Linked DNA regions of Lonchura striata. The protein of the gene in region 1 interacts with the protein of each later gene in a pairwise test. Links are inferred from orthologs where the notes say so. Each region holds a gene or a part of one and is shown in the gene's direction. Other genes may lie near its edges.

Evidence for each region.
Region 2: the proteins of NUP50 (region 1) and KPNA6 interact in binary tests that used the Homo sapiens proteins (3 or more experiments, as listed by UniProt). The two-hybrid records come from large-scale screens. The link is inferred for Lonchura striata from reciprocal best matches to the Homo sapiens genes NUP50 and KPNA6.

The regions. Positions count from the first base shown.
Region 1 is NC_134607.1:5,816,745-5,826,562, reverse strand, and holds the start of NUP50 (nuclear pore complex protein Nup50), read left to right. Parts: upstream 1-5,600; 5' UTR 5,601-5,627; coding exon 5,628-5,696; exon of another isoform or gene 5,697-6,726; coding exon 6,727-6,810; intron 6,811-8,605; exon of another isoform or gene 8,606-9,418; coding exon 9,419-9,614; intron 9,615-9,818. UniProt on the Homo sapiens protein: Component of the nuclear pore complex that has a direct role in nuclear protein import. Actively displaces NLSs from importin-alpha, and facilitates disassembly of the importin-alpha:beta-cargo complex and importin recycling.
Region 2 is NC_134628.1:973,080-983,394, forward strand, and holds the start of KPNA6 (importin subunit alpha-7), read left to right. Parts: upstream 1-5,835; 5' UTR 5,836-5,898; coding exon 5,899-5,902; intron 5,903-10,315. Other genes in the region: BSDC1 (BSD domain-containing protein 1), read left to right, coding at 89-170, 849-1,379, 1,957-2,060, 2,286-2,318. UniProt on the Homo sapiens protein: Functions in nuclear protein import as an adapter protein for nuclear receptor KPNB1. Binds specifically and directly to substrates containing either a simple or bipartite NLS motif.

The DNA.
Region 1 (9,818 bases):
AGAAGAGGCTTTTTATTAAAGCCTATTATTTGGCTTAGTGAAAATAATAGCTTAACTGCTGCTAAGCCTCTTTCCTACCTGTAAAGCATATTATTTCAAGTATTTCTAGATGTGAAATAAGGGCTTTATTATCTTGGAGTATGAAAAATAAAGTACAAGATGAGAGGAAATCACAATGTTTCTTGATTTTTTTATATTTGAATCACAAGGACTTAGAAAATATCTTGTACAATAGCTATGAATACCATTTTCCTGAAATATTTGATTGCAAGAAAAGCAAATAGCAGTTTCAAATAATTCAGACATCAAATGTAGCACCCTTAAATGAAAATCTCCTTAGAGCCCTCACTTTAACATTTATTTCAAAGTTATTTTCTAAAAAATGTTTGCTCTACTTTTCTAAAGAATTCTGCAGTTTATAATTCTCATTTCAGACAGTTATTATAATGCTATACTCACCGTGTTGACTCTCCAGCCAGCTTGGCTGCCAGAAGAGTTTCTCCCATCTCCTGGGAAAAGGCAGTGGAATCACCTTCTATTTACAGAGCCACAGAAGTGGCCTCACCTGTGTGAATGATGGCGAGAGAAACAGGTGGCAGATTGTGCAGCAGACCTTATCTTAATTATCCCTAATTCAAACAGAGTGTGTTCACAGTGTAGCTGATTATTGAGATGGACAAATGCAATGGCTGCAAACTGAGCAAAGCAAATACCAGACTTTCTTCCTGGCTGGTGTTTGAAGAGCAATGGAAAGATCCAGTTTCATAAATATACATTATATAAACTCTCTCAAATTTTGCATTTATCTGATAGCAAGGAAAAAGTTACTCTTTGGAGTAGGGTGGTTGTGATAGGGGAAATGCCTGGAATCCTATTAAGTGACCCTGGAAAACTCCTTATTTCTTATTGAAAGAACATTTTACAAATAGCCTTTCCCTTCAGCACTGCAAGTGCCCTACTTAAAATAAATAAAAGTTGACAGATAAAGCAATGAAAAAAGCTACACTTCTGGACGAAAATGTGCAAACAGTGGAGAAAATGTTTAGTTAAATAAAAAATGTATTTTAATAAAGAAGACCTTTTTATTTTCCTGCTTCTTACATTTCAACATGATATCTGAAAAATGCACTTTTTATGATTGGCTTTTCGCAAATATTAAATTCAATACTATACGTATTATACTATATTGATTAGAAGTGCTGTATTAACATTTTAATAGTATGTTAAATGTAGTTTTGTAGTTAAAATAGAAACCATGTATGTGGAGTTTTCTTTAAAAGAATGAGATACTCGTTCTTGACTCTTTGCAAATATTAAAATGAATATTATATGTGTAATGTTAGTTATGCTGTATTAATTCTCTTAAGTATTGTGTTAAATATAGCTCTAGGTTATAACATAATGCTAATATAGAAACTATGATGTAAGATTTTTTTTTTTTACTAGCTCAAGAAAAGGGAGAAGATAATTAAGAAACTCTTTGCAGAGATAACAGCGACAGGGCACATAAAGAGGTACTGGCTCCTTACTGGAAAAAACATTTTTCCACCTTCTCTCCCTCTTTATGGAACCACCAGGATTAAGGGGAAGAAGCTGACAAAAAGCAGAAAAAATTCTTAATTTGCAAAGAATTTATACATAATGTATGAGATATATGAATATGCAACAGGCTGTTACTTGTAAGGGTTATTCCTCTGTTCACAAGGCATGGTTTTGGCAGCTCAGTGCCCAAAAACATCCAGACATCCTTAATGCTTTGTTTTTAATTGTCTCGTAGCGTTCTAATCCTCATTGTCCAAATTTTTATTATTCTGATTTTATTACTATTTTCAATAACTATTTTATGACTTTATAAAAGATTTTATAAAAACAAGTGATCAGAGTTTTTCCACAAAAAATGATGAATTACAGAATTCAGAACCAGAGGCTATTTGATAAAAATGTATGTGAAAAACGCCAATCACTTGGTTTTTAAAAATTTTTAAAGTTTAATAATAATAAAATGGTTATAAATATAGTAATACAATTAAAGTAATAAAAGTTTAGAGTTAGGACAATTACAAGACAATAAAAGGCAAAGAATTATGGATGTCTGGATGCTCTCAGACACTAAGTCATGAAAAGCATGACTTGTGAATAAAGGAATAACCTCAAAACAATACACTTGTTGCATATTCATACATCTTTATGGTTATGCATACATTCTATTTTAAACAAGAAACTCTGTCTGTTGTATGTTGTTTCCTTTAATCTCCGTGGTGTTTTCGAGTCTGAGCAAGGCCTGAAGAAATTCGCTTCTTCTGATGAGAAAACAATAGATTTATCTTCTCTTGGACGATTTAGGTGTTCCTCGAATCGAGTATCTCATCCCTAAAAAAACCAAAAAACAACTTCCCCCACATACATAGTGTCTATTTTAACGTTCTGTTGGAACCTAAAACTACATTTAACACACTACGTAAGGGAATTAATACAGCTTAACTTTCTAACATTACACATATAATATTCATTGTAACTTCTGTGAAAATCCAATTATAAAACATTTTTTCACAATGATTAATTATAGAATCCAGAACCAGGGAATATTTGATAAAAATGTATAAATAGGCGAGGAACTTTTTTTATCAGCATGTGCGTGGGGGCGGAAATGTCTGCGGGCAGCCACCAAACTGTATGACTATTTTACACAAAAGGCTGCTGGCCGAGGACGCACCGGTACCTCGCCAGCACGAAAAGGCGGCACTCAAAGACGCAGTTAAAAGCAGAGAATGAAGATTTCCTTCTAACATCCGATTTCTCCCGGCGGCCCCGGCAGGACCTGCGCAGAGCGCGGCCGGCGGCGGAAGCCACACGCGCCTCGGCGGCGCCCCCCGCGGCCGCCGGCGGTACTGCAGCGGCCGGCCGCGGCGGGCGCACGCGCGGTGCGCGGGCCGGCGGCGGGCGCGGCCTTCCCGCTCAGGGCCGCGGCGGCAGCAGCGGCGGCGAGCCCCGCGTGTGCCGGCGGCACCGAGCGGCCGGGCCGGCGGCACCGGGCCGTGCAGCCTCTGCGGACACCCCGCCTCCCGCGGGAGAGCCCCGAGCGAGCGAGTGAGTGGCGCGGGGGTCGCTGCGGTCCGGAAGGCGCGGAGCGCTGCGCGGTGCGGCGAGCGGGCGGGGCGCGGCCGGCACGGGGCGAGCGGCGCCGGGAGCCGCAGCGGAACGGCGGATCCGCGGTGGCTTCCGCTTCCTCCCGCCGGGCCCGCAGCCGGCTCCGGGATCCCGGGACCCGCACGGACACCGGCCCCGCCGGCTCCGGGCCTCGCTGCCCGGGTGACCGCCGAGCCTGGCTAGAGAGCGGTAAACAGGCTATGAAGCTGCTGGGTGTTGTTATCTCTGCAGGTCAGCAGCGCGGCTGCGCTGCGTTGTTTTTAAACGTGTTCAGAAATGTTTTTGAGCGTGATTGGTAATCGAAGAGGAGTCAGGGTGGATATCGGGAAAGGTTGTTCCCGCAGAGCGTGTTGGCACTGCCCAGGCTCCCCAGGGAATGGGCACTGCCCAAGGCTGCCAGAGCTCCGGGAGCGTTTGGACAACACTCAGGGATGCACAGGGTGGGATTGTTGGGGTGTCTGTGCGGGGCCAGGGGCTGGGCTCAGTGATCCTTGTGGGTCCCTCCCAACTCGGGATATTCCGTGATTATTCGATACGTTTCTCAAAATACTTCTATGTCAGCCTGTTCAGAACACGTGCTCCGAAAGCTTCATGAAGTTTGTGAACACCAACCAGATGTAGGTTTGTGCTGGTTCTTGTTTCACGGGATAGAATTCACTTCAAGTTCTCTGTTAGAGTCACGTTAGATCCTCTACAATGCTTTTAAAGAGAAACTGTGCAAACACCAGTGGGTGCAGAGAATCTGGAGCTTACATAGACAAGGTTTTCTCTCTTTTGGCGGGGGACAGGCTCTGTAGTTAATGTGCTCTTTCAATAATTCAAATATTTAATGTAATAATGAAACTAATATATTTAAATTATATTATAGTATATAGTATATTATATATAATATGAATTATATTATAGTATATTATATACTAATATAATATAGTATACTATAGTATATTATAGTATAATATATAGTATATATACATAATATGAATATACGCAGCATATATATACAGAATACCTTTATTTATTATAACTTAAAAATTAAAATGTATTACATAATTTAACACATTCTATATAAAAATTATATAATGAAACAATAATTTAAATAAAGGTGACTTTAAAATAACTTGTTTTTAGCTTTTCAGTGGGTTAGATTGAAATGATCTCCCAGGGGTTATCAGGCAAGGATGTCTACTTTCAGGACAGAGTGGATCAGGGCATTTAAATATGTATACACAAGCCAATCTTTGTCCCTCTACTTCCAGAAGCTCTAGTAACTTGACCTTATTTGTGATATATGTCAGACAAAATTTAGGACTTGGATGTATCATCTCCCAAGACTGCTGTCCTTCTGGATTTGCTGCTCTAAAATGTTTCAATATATAAACAAGATGCCTTGTAACAATATATTGTTACAATTTCTGGCTCTGAAATTCAGCTATTTGTGGTTTTTTTTTTTTTTTTTTTTTTTTTTTTTTTGTCTTTTTTTTCTGGGCAGGTCTTAATCACAAACCCAAGGGGGTTTTGGAAGAGTTTTAATTTTTGTGCTTGTTTGAGATTTAAATTGCAACAAAACTACATATTTCCTTTGGTAAGTTTACACACATTTAGTATCAGAAGATATAACCATAGTTAGTGAAATACATCTTTTTTCACATAAAATTCCTGTACAGTGATTGCTTGCCCGGTTTTTTAGACTGAATCCAGCTACCATGTTTTCTTTTTCTGGTTTTGTACACAGCTCATAAGTTATACGTTAGTAAAATGGGACTGAGAACAGTTACAGACATTCCTTCTGCAAAGCTGATTTTGCTTTACATCACAGAGATAACCAGCAAAATCATGATTTCTTTGCTTACAGTAATTGCTGTAAAATCCATGGCATGACTTATGTGTCCTTTGTAGGAAAGCCAATCTCATTTATTTAATTTTTTTTTCAAATTAGTAATGGACAACCAGTCCAATTTTTTAAAGGAGAGCATTGTCTTCGGTCTTAACCAAGCTCTCTGCTCAGCTGATTCAGTGGGTCCTCATTAGTATTTATTTCAGATGTTATAAAGCAACTCCCTTTTTTCTTGCTGCTTACATAGGTATCCTGAGGTGGCAATGTGGAGTGGAATATGGAATGTTTTAACCACAGCTTTGGGGTTTTTGTAGCCCTTCAGAATACGAGTATATGAGTTATGGTTCCGAAAGGAATTTTTCCATCTGCCAAATAATATTTATCCCATAACTGCACTGTACATTTCTGTTGTTCTTTAAGATTGAATATGGCTGATCACCACAACTTGAATCTCAAGTGCTGTTGGCTGTTTTTGCCACAACACTTGGTTTTCAGTTGTCATTCCAATCTTGACTTGCTTCTATATGAACTGCAGTTCCTGTTTTTTTGTTCTAAGAATACAAATTGAAGATCACTGCCACTTAGAATTTAATTTCTGTGCAATTCTTTCTAGGATTTTTTGTTTCTCCCCAACAAGTGTGGAAAAATGGCAAAGAGAATTGCTGAAAAGGAACTGACTGACCGAAACTGGGACCAAGAGGATGAAGCTGAAGAGGTAAAATACAAATTAGTTCCCCGCTAGTAGCTGTTTACATTTGTTGTGTATCTTGTGCATAAAACCTACAGTAGAACTGGTTAAAAGTTTAGCAATTAAAGATAATTTTATAGAAGTGGATTTTTAAAAAATTATTTCTATAAAGCTTCCAGTTATGCAGACCATATAGCAAAACAGCTTTTAAGAGTAAAAATTTCGTCAGTGGTTCTGGAGAAAGGAACTTAATATTTTTAGAGGGAACCCCAGGCTTGTTAAAATGCTTTTGGACTCTTTAAAAGCAGATTTGATTTCTGGAGATAAATGCTCTGTATGCCTCCAGTATATTTTTTGAGGGTCAGTAATAGCTGATTTTAGAGCTATGTTAATTTTAGCTGAATTTCTCCACACAGCCGGAGGAATTAGGCAAATAGTTGAGTGGTATGTTTCACCTAATTGTAAAAAGACATTTTCACCTTTAATGTCTCATACTTCCCTTATGGCTCATATTTAAACAAACTGGTTTAGTTTTTGTCCAACTAAAAGTATTAAACGCTTAGGCCTGTAAATGTAAAAAAGAAAACTAACTCTTCCAGGAATTTGAATATAAGAAAACTTAATTTCCTCATTTGTTGCAGGGTGGTACTGAGCCATTAGCTGTCTTTGCTAGTGTTTGAACTACAGCAGGCTGCTGGAGGTTGCCTTAGAGCCCACATCTCCATATAACTGTTCCAAACTGTGGATTACTGACAGATTCCCTTCAGCAGAGAGATCTTAGAGCTGTGTTTTAAAAAAGCAAAACAAAACTTACATTATTTGTTTTAATAAAATGGAAATAGCACAAAGAGAAATGTAGTGCAGAACCAGAAAGAGTTTTCCAAGTATCAACTCACCTGCAGGTAGCTGGTAAGCCGATGACAGTGCTGCATTTTAACTTCTCCCCTTGTTTGTTTGGTAGCAGTGTTAGAGTTGTGTTCAAAACCTGATCTTGGCCATCCCTTCATGTTGTGTATTTTGAATATTCCACTAATGATTCCATAACTTCCTCTTCAAGGTGGGAACATTCTCTGTGGCAAGTGAAGAGGTCCTGAAGAACAGAGCTATTAAAAAAGCAAAGCGCCGAAATGTTGGGTCAGAGGTAATGTAGTCACTGAGCATGAGTGCTGGGCTTTTACTCAGTTACAAAACACAACACCACACTCAGGGTTTTACTTCCTTGGGTTTGTAGTGATGCTGAGTAAAGTTATCATTTTGACTCACCGGGTCATATGTGCACATGAACTTTGGCTTTACTGTTCCATGCTAAGAATAAGACTAAGGCAAAAAAAGGGTAATACTAGTTTGACTAGGTGAGCAGGGTGTTCTTGCATATTTGTGAAGTAAAAATAAAGAGTGTTTCAGGCACAGTGTTTTATGCAAATGGGTAAAACAACGTTTTTACTGCTTTACTTGCATTTTTTGTAGAGATGGAAGTATGGAAATGCAAAGTTATTAGTTATCCATACTGGAGGGCTGGGGGATGTCTCAGAAGCTATGTTAGTAAATACCCAAATACTAAGCTGCTCTGAGAATGAGAAACGTGTATTTTGTTAAGAATGCTGCTACTTTTTTTTTCTCCCTCCCTGTCAAGAGCTTTAGTGCTATCTACTCTTTGCACTAGCGAATTGAAAATTGAAAGGAAGCTGGCCTTTGTTACAGGTTTAGTCCCTGTGAAAGCCTTATCCCAGTCCAGCCAAATTGTTGTCCTTTCAGGAATCCTTGAGAAATGCTTTGTTGTGTATATTTTTTTCCCAGACATCCTTTGAACAGGGTATGCATCATGTTAGAAATAGGCTTGGAGCTTTATGTGTTACACAGATTGCTTTAGGACTTGGTGGGACTAGGCACAGTTAGGAGCTAGAGAGCCTTCTCCTATGCTTTTGATTTTCCTTCTTCAGTCCAAGCACTGTAAATGAGGAAGCTGTTTTAGCTCACTAATGCCTTGAGTAGTTTTAGCCACAAATGTGGTAGAGGATACAGTTAAATAAAGGATTGTATTGAAAGGAGGTGATACAAAACATAAATACAACTTGAGCAGGAGAGATTCAGGGGCAAATGGAATAGGAAAAATAGAACAGGCTGAGAAAGGGGATCAGATGGGTTGTAGAAGTAGTCAGGAGACTGGAAGCAGGCTGTTAGAGCTGGTAGAAGGGCTGGTATACTTCAGCTCCAGCTGACAGCTAGCTAAGGACCATGCAGCCCCTCACTTTTCCTCCTAGTGGGATGAGGAGGAGAATGGAAAAAAGGGTGAAAGCCTGGGTTGAGATAAGGACAGTTTAGTGATTGAAATATAATGATCATGATGATAAGGGAACCAAAAAAAGGGAAAGAAATAAACCCAGAAAAAGCAGTGATGCTCAGGATAGTTGCTCACTACCCACTGACCTCATCCCATGCCCAAGCAGCAATCAGCTGCTCCCAGCCACCGCCCCTCCCAGTTTCCGTGCTGGCCATGACATTCTGTGTTCAGGTCACTGTCCTGGCCATGCTCCCTCTCAACCCCTTCTGTCCTGCTTGCTGGCAGAGCATGAGACATTGATAAGCCCTTGATTGCAGTGAGCACTGCTCAGCACCAACTAAAACATCCTTGTGTTATCAACATTCTTCTCGCCCTGAATTCAAACCACACCACTGTACCAGCTACTAGGGAGAAAATTAACTCTATCCCAACCAAAACCAGGACAACAGGCTGGACAAAATCTAAAATGCAGAAGAGATGACAGGACAGCTAAAGTTGTGTAAGAAACTTTGTGAAATATTTACAGAAAGGTAAACTTGCTGATGTTCCTACATGGAGTAAGCAGAATGCTTCAGTGAAAAAGACAGCAGTTTAACTGGAATATTCAGAGAGAAAGGTGGGACTGATCAGAGAGAAACATAATAAAAATGCTTACCTAGGAATGTGAAGCAGAGGACTGTGCTGGAGACCCATAACCACAAGGTCAGATACTGGAATGGACAAGCTTTGCCATTTCTTCAAAAGCAGATGAAACTCAGAAGCAGTTCTCATCTGATGGTTTTCCAGAGACACTGAAAGTTCACTTTGAGTGGTAAAAGTTCATGACCTCCAAAGGCCTTAAAATTGCAGTTCTTTATTTGCATGTTAATTGTACTTTGTCTTTTAGAAACACGTAAGAAACTATACCATAAAATAATACGGTTGCAAAGACAGTGATTAGAACTGGGTAATGAAAAGTTTGCAGATACAGATATTTTGTGGTCAAGTACGGTTTGTCTTTGCATCTTCCATCAGTCACATTGGAGTATTTTGGGTAAATCAGAAGAGGTTTCACAGGTGTTTCCAGAGTGATGAGTGGATTAAAGTATTGGGCTCTTGACTGCCATTGTAAATGCTCAAAGTTGTTGAAAATAAACCTGAAATTACATAATCCTGTGTAGTTAAAGAAAACAAGATACTGTGAATGTCTAATAGGCAGTCAAACACATCCACAGCTCTGAGCAACTTCCATGTATCCACATCCTAGATCCAGTTTATTTTCATACCAAACATCTGAGTCTGTTAAAAACAGAAGCACTGTGTGTCATAAGGAAGCTGTTAATTTTGTTTGCGTAGCTGACACAGTAATGCATGGAATGACATGCTGAACTAGGGAAAAACAAACCAAGGATATCAACAATATTAAGTGGGGACAGGATTTGCATGGAGAAGATGTATGTAACTGTCTCTCTTTTTTTTTTCTCCCCAGTCTGAAAGTGGAGGAGCTTTTAAAGGGTTTAAAGGCTTTGTATTGCCTTCTGGGAAAGGAGGAGGTGGCTTCAGTGGATTCGGGAATGGTGCAGGAATAAAGCCTTTGGAAGGGCTGTCTAATGGAAGCAGTAGTGTCTCTAGTACTCCTCCTTTCAGCAGTTTGAAGAGCACCTCTGAAACACAATCAGCATTTGGTAAGTTTTAAATAAGCATACATATTTATCAACACCTTCAGTCATAAAACTTGTAGGGTTATTTTAGCAGTGAAAAAACAAATTTAGACCATGTTGTAGTAGTGTTTTAAGGTTTTGAGACTATCTACCTCTTTGTAACATTTCTTATTATTTTGGAGTGCTGGAGGGACAAGTTTTCACATGCAATTTAAAGAGGTGGCAACT
Region 2 (10,315 bases), on another chromosome or scaffold:
GTCTGGAACCTCCAAAAATGCCTGAGGGACATTTTGAGTTCCGACAGGATGGGGGATGTGAGCGTCTGCTGGTGTTCAATTCCTGCAGGATGAAGCCCGGAGGGAAGCTCTGAAGCAGCGAGCAGAGCAGAGCATGCACCAAGAGGAGCCAGGCTGGGAGGAGGACGAAGGTGGGACATGTTTGGGGGCTCTGGGAGGCTTTGTGGAGAACTTGTCATGGGGTGGTGGCTCCTCCTCACTCCCACAAATCCCAACAGGCAGCTCTGATCTCTGCTCTGTGAGCAGTGGTGGCATCAGGGAGTGCCTGGGGCTGTGTCAGGTGCTTGAGGTTGGATATCAGGAAATGTTCTACCCCAGAGGGTGCTGGGCACTGATGAATAGACTTGATTCAGAAGGCTGTGAAAGTAAGACTCCCCTTTATTCAAAATACACCTCTCTTTTATACAGAGCTTTGTAAGGACCAAATCAATTCGTTTTGAAGTGAAAACAACCCAAAGCATTGGTGCAGAGTGCTTGACACACACTGCTAGAACTTAACTATAAACAACGTGAAAAACAAGAGAGATAAAGAATTATTTACATTCTTCCCCAGTTCCTTCCCAGGCTTCTGCCTGGCTAGAAATTCTCAGTTTCTTTCTTTGACTGAATCCGAGACCCACACCCCAGGGAATGGGCAGGGCCCCAAAGCTGGCAGGGCTTCAGGACAGCGCTCTCAGGGGTGCCCAGGGTGAGGTTGTTGGGGTTGGACTGGATGTTCCCAGTGGGTCCCTCCCAGCTCGGGCCATTCTGTGGAATCCAGCTCCCAGCCCAGCTGAAACATCTCTCGCTTCTCTTCTGCCTCCCTACAGAGGAGTTCTTGGGGATGTCCCCCCTGCCTTGTGCAAACATCACATTCCCAGGAGCAGCACAGAAAGAGCCCAGCTCGGAGGGAAACCCCCCAGCTGCTCCCAAGGGTCCCTCGGGGGAGAGCTGGGCTGTGCTGCCCCCAGAGCTGGTGCCAGTGGAGCAGAGCCCCTCGGAGAGCAGCGAGAGCGTGTCCCTGGTGACTCAGATTGCAAACCCTGCCCCTGTGCCTGCCACCCAGCCACAGACTGCAGCTCCTCCCGTGGGCGCCGGCCAACTCTCCCCCAGCCTGCTGGAGGCCACCTTGGAAGAGCAGAGCTCCCTGCCCAAGCCCCCAGAAGCTGCTCAGCCTTCTGCACCTGCCCAGGAATCAGCAGCATCCTTGGAGCCAGCTGGAGCAGAGCTCAGAGAGCTGGAGAGCAAAGGGCAGGGCAGGACAGAGACTCTGAGATCAGAGGAAGGACCCACAGATCTGAGAGTCTTCGAGCTCAACTCGGACAGTGGCAAATCCACCCCCTCCAACAACGGCAAGAAAGGTTTGTGTGGGGCTGGGAACCCGCCGGGAGGGGCAGCTCTGGGTTTCTGGTGCTGAGGGAGAGGAAAGGGAAAGAAATCAAAGGTCTGCTGGCTGAGCAGAGCAGCCCTTGGTCCCTGGATGCCAGGAAAGGCTGTGCTCTGTGGTGAGATCAAGAGAGAAAAAAGAGCCAATTTTATTATTTTATTATAGAATTCCAAAAGGGACAGTGGATTGGAGGGTGTCACCTCTGCCTGTCATCCCTGGGGGTGTCCCTGCTGGGACAATGACAGTCCCCATATCCAAGTCCCTCCTGTCATTCCTTATCTGCTGCATTTTCTGTGTGGCTGGAACCTGACACATCCCAGTTCTCCCAGGCCAGAGGAGAAAATATTTCAGCATCCACCTCTCCCACTGGTCCTGCACCAGCCCTGGCAGTGAGGGAAGCAAGCTCAGTCCATCCCATCTGTGTCGGGGAGCTGTTCCTGGCAATGTGGAGGCTTTCCCTCCTCAGGCAGGCTGTGGTAGCTCTGGGCCCTGGGAATTCCAGGGCTTTGGGGCCAGCTCTGGTGGCTCAGTGGGGATTTTTGTGCTTCCAGGCTCCAGCACGGATATCAGCGAGGACTGGGAAAAGGATTTTGATCTGGACATGACAGAAGAGGAGGTGCAGCTGGCGCTCTCCAAGGTGGAAGTGGCTGGGGAGGTGAGTCAGGAGAGGCAAAACTGCCCCCCAAAAAGCATCACCAAGGCCTCGGGGTGCTGGGATGAGTGTGCAGGTTTCCCAAGGGGAACAGAGCAGGCAAATCCCTGTTGTGGGAGTGTGAGGATACATCAGGTGCCCTGGGAAGGAGGAGCTGTTGAGTTACAGAAACAAACAGCTGAGAACAGCTCAGAAACAGCTCAGAAACGGATTTCCTCTTGCTTGCAGCTGGAAGATGAAGAGTGGGAAGACTGGGAATAAAGCAGCTGCTTCCAGTGTGTGTCACAGGCTCATTTCCACCATCGAATGTGAATCCAATCTCGGACCGGCTGTTCCTTTGTGTGTGACTGTGCTGGGGGTTGCAGTTCCAGGCTGGAGGAGTTCCATCCCTGCAAAAACCTGGGGGCAACTCAAGTCACCCCTTCAGATGCAGGAGGAGGAAGCAGGAGGTCGCTGGCACACAGGAGCCTGACTTCTCCATAGGTCCTAGAGACTGGCCAAGCCAAAACTGACCCTGCCGTGTTAGGGAGAGGCAGAGTGAGGGGTCCCTGGGGCCAGCTGGGCACTCAGAGCCCTGCCAGGAGTGCTGGGTGCTGCCAGGCTGCCAGCTGGCTCCTTCCTTGCTTGTGTGTGCACGTGTAACCTACAGCTGAGAGGATCCTGGACGTGGCTGTGCCTGCTCTGCAATTCCCACCTGGAAAGCAGCACCCAGGGAGGGCCTGAGGGCTGGAGGTGCTGCAGAAAAAGGCACTTGGCTCGTGGCTTTGACCCTGGAAGGAGCCAAACCCCCCTGCCAAACCCTGAGCTTCTGCCTGGCTTTTTGTCTTGGAAGCTTTTTCTCGTGGAAACTCCCGTTTCCAGCAGTTCCTCAAAGAGCCAAGGCCTGCTGCTCCCCACCTTTTGCAGCTGCACCACCTTCCTGCGCTGGGTTTTGTGTCTTTCTAGTGAAATTCTCCAGGCAAAATCCTCGTGGCTTGCTCTTACTGCAGCCCTGCTGGGCTGGCAGTGGTTTGGGTCAGCTGGGAGCAGAACCCCTCGTGTTGGTGGCCAGTTCAGCCCAGCCTGACCCACTGAGCACTTCAACCTCTGCTTGGCCAGCCTGGGGAGAAAGAAGCTCCCAAATGTGGGTGATCCCTGCTGGCAGAGGCCGTGTGTCCCCATCTGACCCCTGTGCCACCCGTGCCAGGCCCTGCAGCCACCACGAGCTTTGCTGTGCTCACTTGGGTTCCTCCTCTGCTTGCTTCACCCCCCTCAGGCCTCTTTTTGGGGGCAGTTTCCTTGTCACAACACGAGATGTTGCTGCTGCACGGTTATCCCAAGGGGACGGTGCCCTCGCTGCTCTCCCTGGCCTTGGGGGTGCTGGGGTGACACTTTGTGCTGCCCTTTTCAGGCCTGGGGGTTCCTTGCTGGGTTTGGACAACACTAAACGAGGTGCACGTGGAAGAGTTGGGGTTTTAAATTTGGGTTTTCCTTCTTTGGGGTGGCTCCTGGTGGGAGCATCCCTCTCCTGCCAAAGCCTTGTGTCCAGCAGAGCCTCAGCTTGTCCTGGCTGGGATTGTGGTGGGCAGGGGACACGGGGGACACCAGTGGGGACCTGGGGCTGAGGCTGCAGCATCCGTGTCGCTTCCTTTTCTTCTTTAGCCGAATTAACCCTTGGGTTGGTTGTGCAATATTCTCCGTTCTCGAACTATTCCACATCTCCCTGAGCCTTTTCTAGCTGGGGTGAGAAACCAGGAGCAATTCTAACAGCTGGTAGTTTTGTAACGACGACTTTCTCCAAACCTTTTGCAGTTAACAGCAATTAAAGGAGTTCTCAGAGTCTCTGCCTGTCCCGGGTGTCCTCATTTCCTCTAGGGTGGGGATGACACAATTTTCCTTTTCTCACATCTCCTTCAGGACAGGGAGAAGAACCTGTGGGAGTGTGGCCCCTGTTGATGGAGTAAAAAAGTAACTCTCCTTAAAAAGGACAAAAGTTTCCTCAATTTGGTTAAAAGACACCTCATAGGACCTTGGGGACCACCTCAAAATTAAGGATAGATGTTATGGTTTGACATTGGCGCAATGTTGGTGTTCTGGAACTAAAGAGAGTGAGTTTTTCTGGGAATTTTGTTAATCACCCCTCTGTGTTCTCAGAGGCGTGTCTACCTTTAATTGGTCAATATTTAAATTGAACTCTTCTTTCCGGGAAAATTCTTTTCCCGTGTCAAACCACGACAAGTAGACAATTGGACAGAAGCCGAAAAGATCCTCGGGGATCTGCTGGGGAATGGCCACGGGAACGGGACACGAGGGACAGCACAGAGGGGACAGGGCAGGAGAGAGCACGGGTGACAGGACAGAAGTGATGGGACACGAGTGACAGGACACGAGTGACAGAACCCGAGCGGCAGGACAGAGGTGACAAAATGCGAGGACATGAATGACAGGACAGAGGTGACAAAGCACGGGTGGCAGGACACAAGTGGCAGACAGGACACGAATGACAGGACAGAGGTGACAGGACACGGGTGAAAGGACACGGGTGGCAGGACACGAGTGACAATACATGGGTGCCAGGACAGAGGTGACAAAACATGGATGACAGGACACGGGTGGCAGGACACGGCTTACAAAACACGAGTGACAGGACACGAGTGGCAGGACATGGGTGACAAGACAGAGGTGACAAAACACGAGTGACAGGACATGAGTGGCAGGACACGAGTGACAGGACAGTGGTGACAAAACATAGGTGACAGGACACGGGTTCCAGGACAGAGGTGACAGGACACGAGTGACAGGACACAGATTACAAAACACGGGTGATAAGACACAGGTGTCAGGACACAGGTTACAAAGCACGGGTGTCAGGACACGGGTGTCAGGACACGAGTGGCAGGACACGAGTGACAGGACACGGGTGACAGGACACGGGTGTCAGGACATGGGTTCCAGGACACGGGTGGCAGGACACGAGTGGCAGGACACGGGTGCCAGGACACGGGTGCCAGGACAGAGGTGACAGGACATGGGTTACAAAACACGGGTGATAGGATACGGGTGTCAGGACACGACTTACAAAGCACGAGTGGCAGGACACGGGTGCCAGGACACGGCTTACAAAGCACGGGTGCCAGGACATGAGTGGCGGGACACGGGTGGCAGGACACGGGTGGTGGGACACGGGTGTCAGGACACGAGTGACAGGACACGGGTTACAAAACACGGGTGATAGGACACGGGTGTCAGGACACGACTTACAAAGCACGAGTGTCAGGACACGGGTGGCGGGACACGGGTGGCGGGACACGGGTGTCGGGACACGGGTGCCAGGACACGGCTTACAAAGCACGGGTGTCAGGACACGGGTGCCAGGACACGGGTGCCAGGACACGGCTTACAAAGCACGGATGTCAGGACACGGGTGTCAGGACACGGGTGTCAGGACACGAGTGGCAGGACATGGGTGGCGGGACACGGGTTACAAAGCACGAGTGGCAGGACACGAGTGGCGGGACACGGGTGGCGGGACACGGGTGGCAGGACACGGGTGGCGGGACACGGGTTACAAAGCACGAGTGGCAGGACACGAGTGGCGGGACACGGGTGGCGGGACACGGGTGGCAGGACACGGGTGGCGGGACACGGGTTACAAAGCACGAGTGGCAGGACACGGGTGTCAGGACACGGGTGGCCGCCGGGCCGCGCCGCCGGTGCAGTTCCGCCGCCGCCCGCTGGGGGCGCCCGGCGGCCGCTCCGCGCGCACAGCTTTGGCCCCGCGCGGCCGCCGTCGGGCCCGCGCCCCTCCCGGTGCCGCCATATTTTGGCCGCCGCCGCCGCCACCGGAGCCGCCGCCGCCGCGATGGGTGAGGGCCCTGAGGGGCGGGCGCGGCCCGGGCAGCTCCGGGCACGGCGAGGGGATGGCGTGGGGCCGGAGAAGCCGCCCCGAGGCCGGGCGGTGCGCGCAGCCCGCCCGCCCCGCGCCGCCGCCGCCGCCGCCCTCGCCCCTCAGCGGCGTCCCGGGCGCTCCTGAGGGCGGCGGGGCCGGCGCGGCCGCTGAGTCACGGCGGGGTCGCTGCGGGGCCTGGGGGGGTCCTCGGGGGCTCCCGGGGAGGGCGGCCCGGGGGCTCTGAGCGCTGAGGGCAGCGCCGGCCGCGCCTCCGGGGAGCTCCGGGCTGGGCGGGAGCTGCGGGGCGTGAAGGGTGAGGCAGCCCGGGACTGGGGTGAAATACCGCGGGTTTGGGGGTGCCGGGGTGAAATACCGCGGGTTTGGGGTGTCAGGGTGAAATACCCCGGTTTTGGGGGTGTTTGGGTTGAAATACCCCGGGTTTGGGGGTGTCGGGGTGAAATTCCCTGGCTTTGGGCGTTTCGGGGTGAAACAACCCGGTTTTGAGGGTGTCAAAGCGAAATACCCTGGGTTTGGAGATCCTGGGGTGAAATATCCCATTTTTGGGGGTGCCAGGGCTGCAGTGCCCGGCTTTGGGGGTGTTTGGGTTGCAGTACCCCGGGTTTGGGTGTGCCAGGGCTGTAAGACCCCGAGTTTGGGGGTGTTAGGGTGAAATACCTTGGGTTTGGGGGTGTTAGGACTGCAATGCCAGGCTTTGGGTGAAATACCCTGGGTTTTGGGGGTGCTAGGGTGAAACACCCCGGTTTTGGGGGTGCCAGGACTGCAGTGCCCGGTTTTGGGTGAAATACCCTGGTTTTAGGGGTGCCAGGGTTGCAATACCCTGGTTTTAGGGGTGCCATGGCTGCAGTGTCCAGATTTGGGTGAAATACTCTGGTTTTGGGGGTGTCAGGGTGAGATACCCCGGTTTTGGGGATGCCACGACTGCAGTGCCCGGTTTTGGGTGAAATACTCTGAGTTTGGGGGTGCTGGGGTGAAGCACCCTGGTACTGGGGGTGCCAGGGCTGCAGATTCTGGCTTTGGGTGAAATACTCTGAGTTTGGGGGTGCCAGGGCTGCAGTGCCTGGGTCCAGCTGGCGGGAGCTGTTGGAGCCCAGTTTTGGGGTGTCAGTGCTGTCACTTTGGGGTGTCAGCTCTCTCTGCTCCATTTTCATCCTCCTGCAGCTGCTGGGGCTCAGTCCTGAGCTCCCCCAGAGCTCAGGGGTTCAGGTGAGAAATAAAAATAATATTTCTGAAATAAAAATCCAGCTCCAGCCCTCCGTGTCACTGGGCTGTCCCAAATAAATCCCAGCTCAGAGTTACCCCTTCCAAAAGTTTTTTAAAAATTCCTTTTATTTATTGAATTCCTTTAATTCCTGCAGATTTTTGGTTTGATGTGCCTGATGTGGGAGGTCCCAGCTCAGGGAGGAGGATTTTATTTTTTAATTTTTCTTTAATTTTTTTTTTTTTGAGGATTCCTATAAGAAGACAGAGTTTGAAAAGATGAGTTGGAAAAGCCCAGCCTTGTAGCAGCCGTGTTTTCATTAAAATTGAGTGAGGATCTTCTGGAAATAAAGATTAAAATGTTTCCATTTTCCACCTGCAATGTTGTCTTTTAACCAGGGCTGCTTCAGAAGCTTCATGGCTTTAAAGCGGCGAGTTTAAGTTGGATATTGAGAATAAATTTTTTCCTGTGAGGGGCTGGGATGGATTTCCCAGAGAAGCTGTGGCTGGAATTACCCCAAGCCAGGTTGGAAAGGGCTTGGAGCAGCCTGGGATGGTGGAAGTTTTCATCTCCTTCCAAACCAGGGATTCAGTGAACCTTCAAAAATACTCTGTGATCATTTAAAAATGATCATTTAAAATTTATTTCACTTATCATGATCTCACCAGGAGCTTTTCTGCCTCCTGAGGTGAAGTCAGTGACCAGTCTGTGTGTGGCTGCTGCACCTCCCAGCCCTGCACAGCTCGGAAATTTTAATTTATGGCTTCAGATATAAAACCTGGGCTGGCAGCTCTGAGGAGAAAAATGTCCTGGGGCCTGGTGGGAATGGCTGGAAATTCTTGGGGCTGTTTTATGTGGAGCTGAGAAGTTTGTGCACAGGAGCTTCCCCTTCTTCCCACCCCTGTTAGAGCCGAATATCCTCCCTGTTTGAATTATCCTCCTGTAACTTTATTATTTTTAAACCAGCTAAGGTTGAGTGGATTTTTTTTTTCATGGTTTTAAATCATGATGCTGTTGGAAATTGTCATTTGCATGGCAAAGGAGGAATGAACTGATGACATCTTTAAATGCCTTTTTTTAGTGCTGCTTAACCCGTGGAGCAGCATTAATGCTCAATTCTCAATAAAACCCCCGTTAATGCTCAATTCTCAATAAAACTCCCGTGGCTGATGAATTTTACAGTTAATTGGCTGGTTTGCTTTGTTTGCTTTAGCTCAGCAGAGCAAACATGAACTTTGTCAAGGGGGAGAGTTTGATTATTAAAATCCTGTGAGAGTGAAAGTCCTGATTCCTTCAGGCTGCTGAGGTCCAGGTAAATCTGCTTAGCAAATCACACAGCCCTGTTTGTTTGTGAGGCAAAGCACGTGTTGGAAGGGATGGATTTATTGGAATTTCATATCCCTCTCTAATTATCTCTGAATGTTTCTGGTTGGTTTTAATTGGAACTCTCCTAGGTCGAGTTTGAGTGGATTCAGTTCAAGTTTTTCCCTGGTTTTGGGATTGTTCTCAGCTAACTCTTGTGCTTGATCAGTCCATTTTTTAAAGGAAATCAGAATGGATAAACCAGCTTGAAGAGGACTTAAAGCCCTCAAATTTTGGGCTGAAAAGATCAAAATGAGGAGCAGGAAGCATTGAGAACTGCCCTGAGGAGTTGCTGCCTTCTTTTTCCAGCAGGGCAGGGACATTCCAAAAGGATTCCTAATCCTGTTTGAACCCTGGGGAATGGCAAACGCTGCCTGCCAGTGAATTTCCCCCCAAAGAGAAATTTTCCCCTGTCCCTTCCCCCTCGCAGCGCTGCACATTCCAGCGGTGATCTCACATCCCTGGCTGGGAAACGGGGATTTACCGGCACGGCAGCCCGGGACAACCGGGACAGGCACGGGGACAGCCCGGGACAGGCACGGGGACACGGCCACCCCCTCCAGGACACCTCTGCAGGAATTTTGTGCTGCCAAACACCCCTGGGAGAACAAACCAGACCTGCCCCGGTGTCACACAGCAGAATTTTGCTGCTTTTATAGCAGCTGGGGGAATTCCAGAGTTGTAGGCACAGCCAGAGTTGGGATTATTTGACAGGATTTTTTTTTTTTGTTTAGTTGCTCTACTGTTTAGCTTCATTTCTTGTGTCTTCTGAAGTAAAAAAGTGAATTTTTTCCCTTTTTATTTTTTCTCTTAATTTGTTGCAAAACTATTGGTGACAGTAAAAAAAAAAAAAGTGGTTTTAACTGATTTCTGCTAGCAGCTCAGAGCTGTTCTTTTACACATTAATTCAACTATTTTATGTAGTTATTAATTTGATTTCTATTTAAATAGTACAGATGATTTAGTCTTCTTTTTGTAGGGTTTCAATTTACTTAATAAAGTTGTCCTGGACATTTTTTTTTTTTTTCTAGAAGAGTCCTCTGGAGATGTTAATGATGGGAGAATCCTCTGGGATTTCAGGGAATTGGAGATATATGAGGAATGAGGTGAAACTCAGCAGTTCGCTCCATTTATTTTGTTGCAATTTGTCTAATTTAGAGGAGTTTAAATTATAAATCACCAACTTTATCCCCATCCCAGGGAAAAGTTGGGTGGGAAGGGCCTTTGGAGGTCACCTGAGAGCTGGGAACGTCCCCAGCAGGCACCAAGTGGCATTTTAGTGCTGCTGAAGTTCCTCAAGTGTATTTATTTACACTTGCATAATTCCCCAAGCAGGGAACAGCTGTCAGCCCTGCGAGCGTCCAGAGCCACCTTTGGAAGATTCCCTGTGGAATATTCCCTGTGGGAAGGGACATTTGGGCTCCAAAAAGAGCCCTGGCCCTGACTCAGCAGCACAAATCCTGCAGTGACTCAGCTCCCAGGGTTTAATCAGCAGTGAGGAAAACGTTGGAAGCAAATATTGCATGTTTTACAGAAAATTGGGAAGAGGCAGGCTTGGATTCCCCATCCAGGAGCTGTTAGAGTAACAGCTCTGGAATTACATTTTCCTGCTGTGGCTTGTGCTGGATTTACAGGGATTTGAGTGCCCTGCTGAGCCTTCAAAGTCAAACTTTCACCCCGTTCTTCCTTTCTTTTAAGTGGGAAATACCTTCTCATCCTCCTATTTATGAGTGTGGCAACTTGGGCTCGTAATTCTTTGACAGCTGGATGAATTTTTTTCCCCTCAGTGAAGGCAAGAGGTGCCAAATT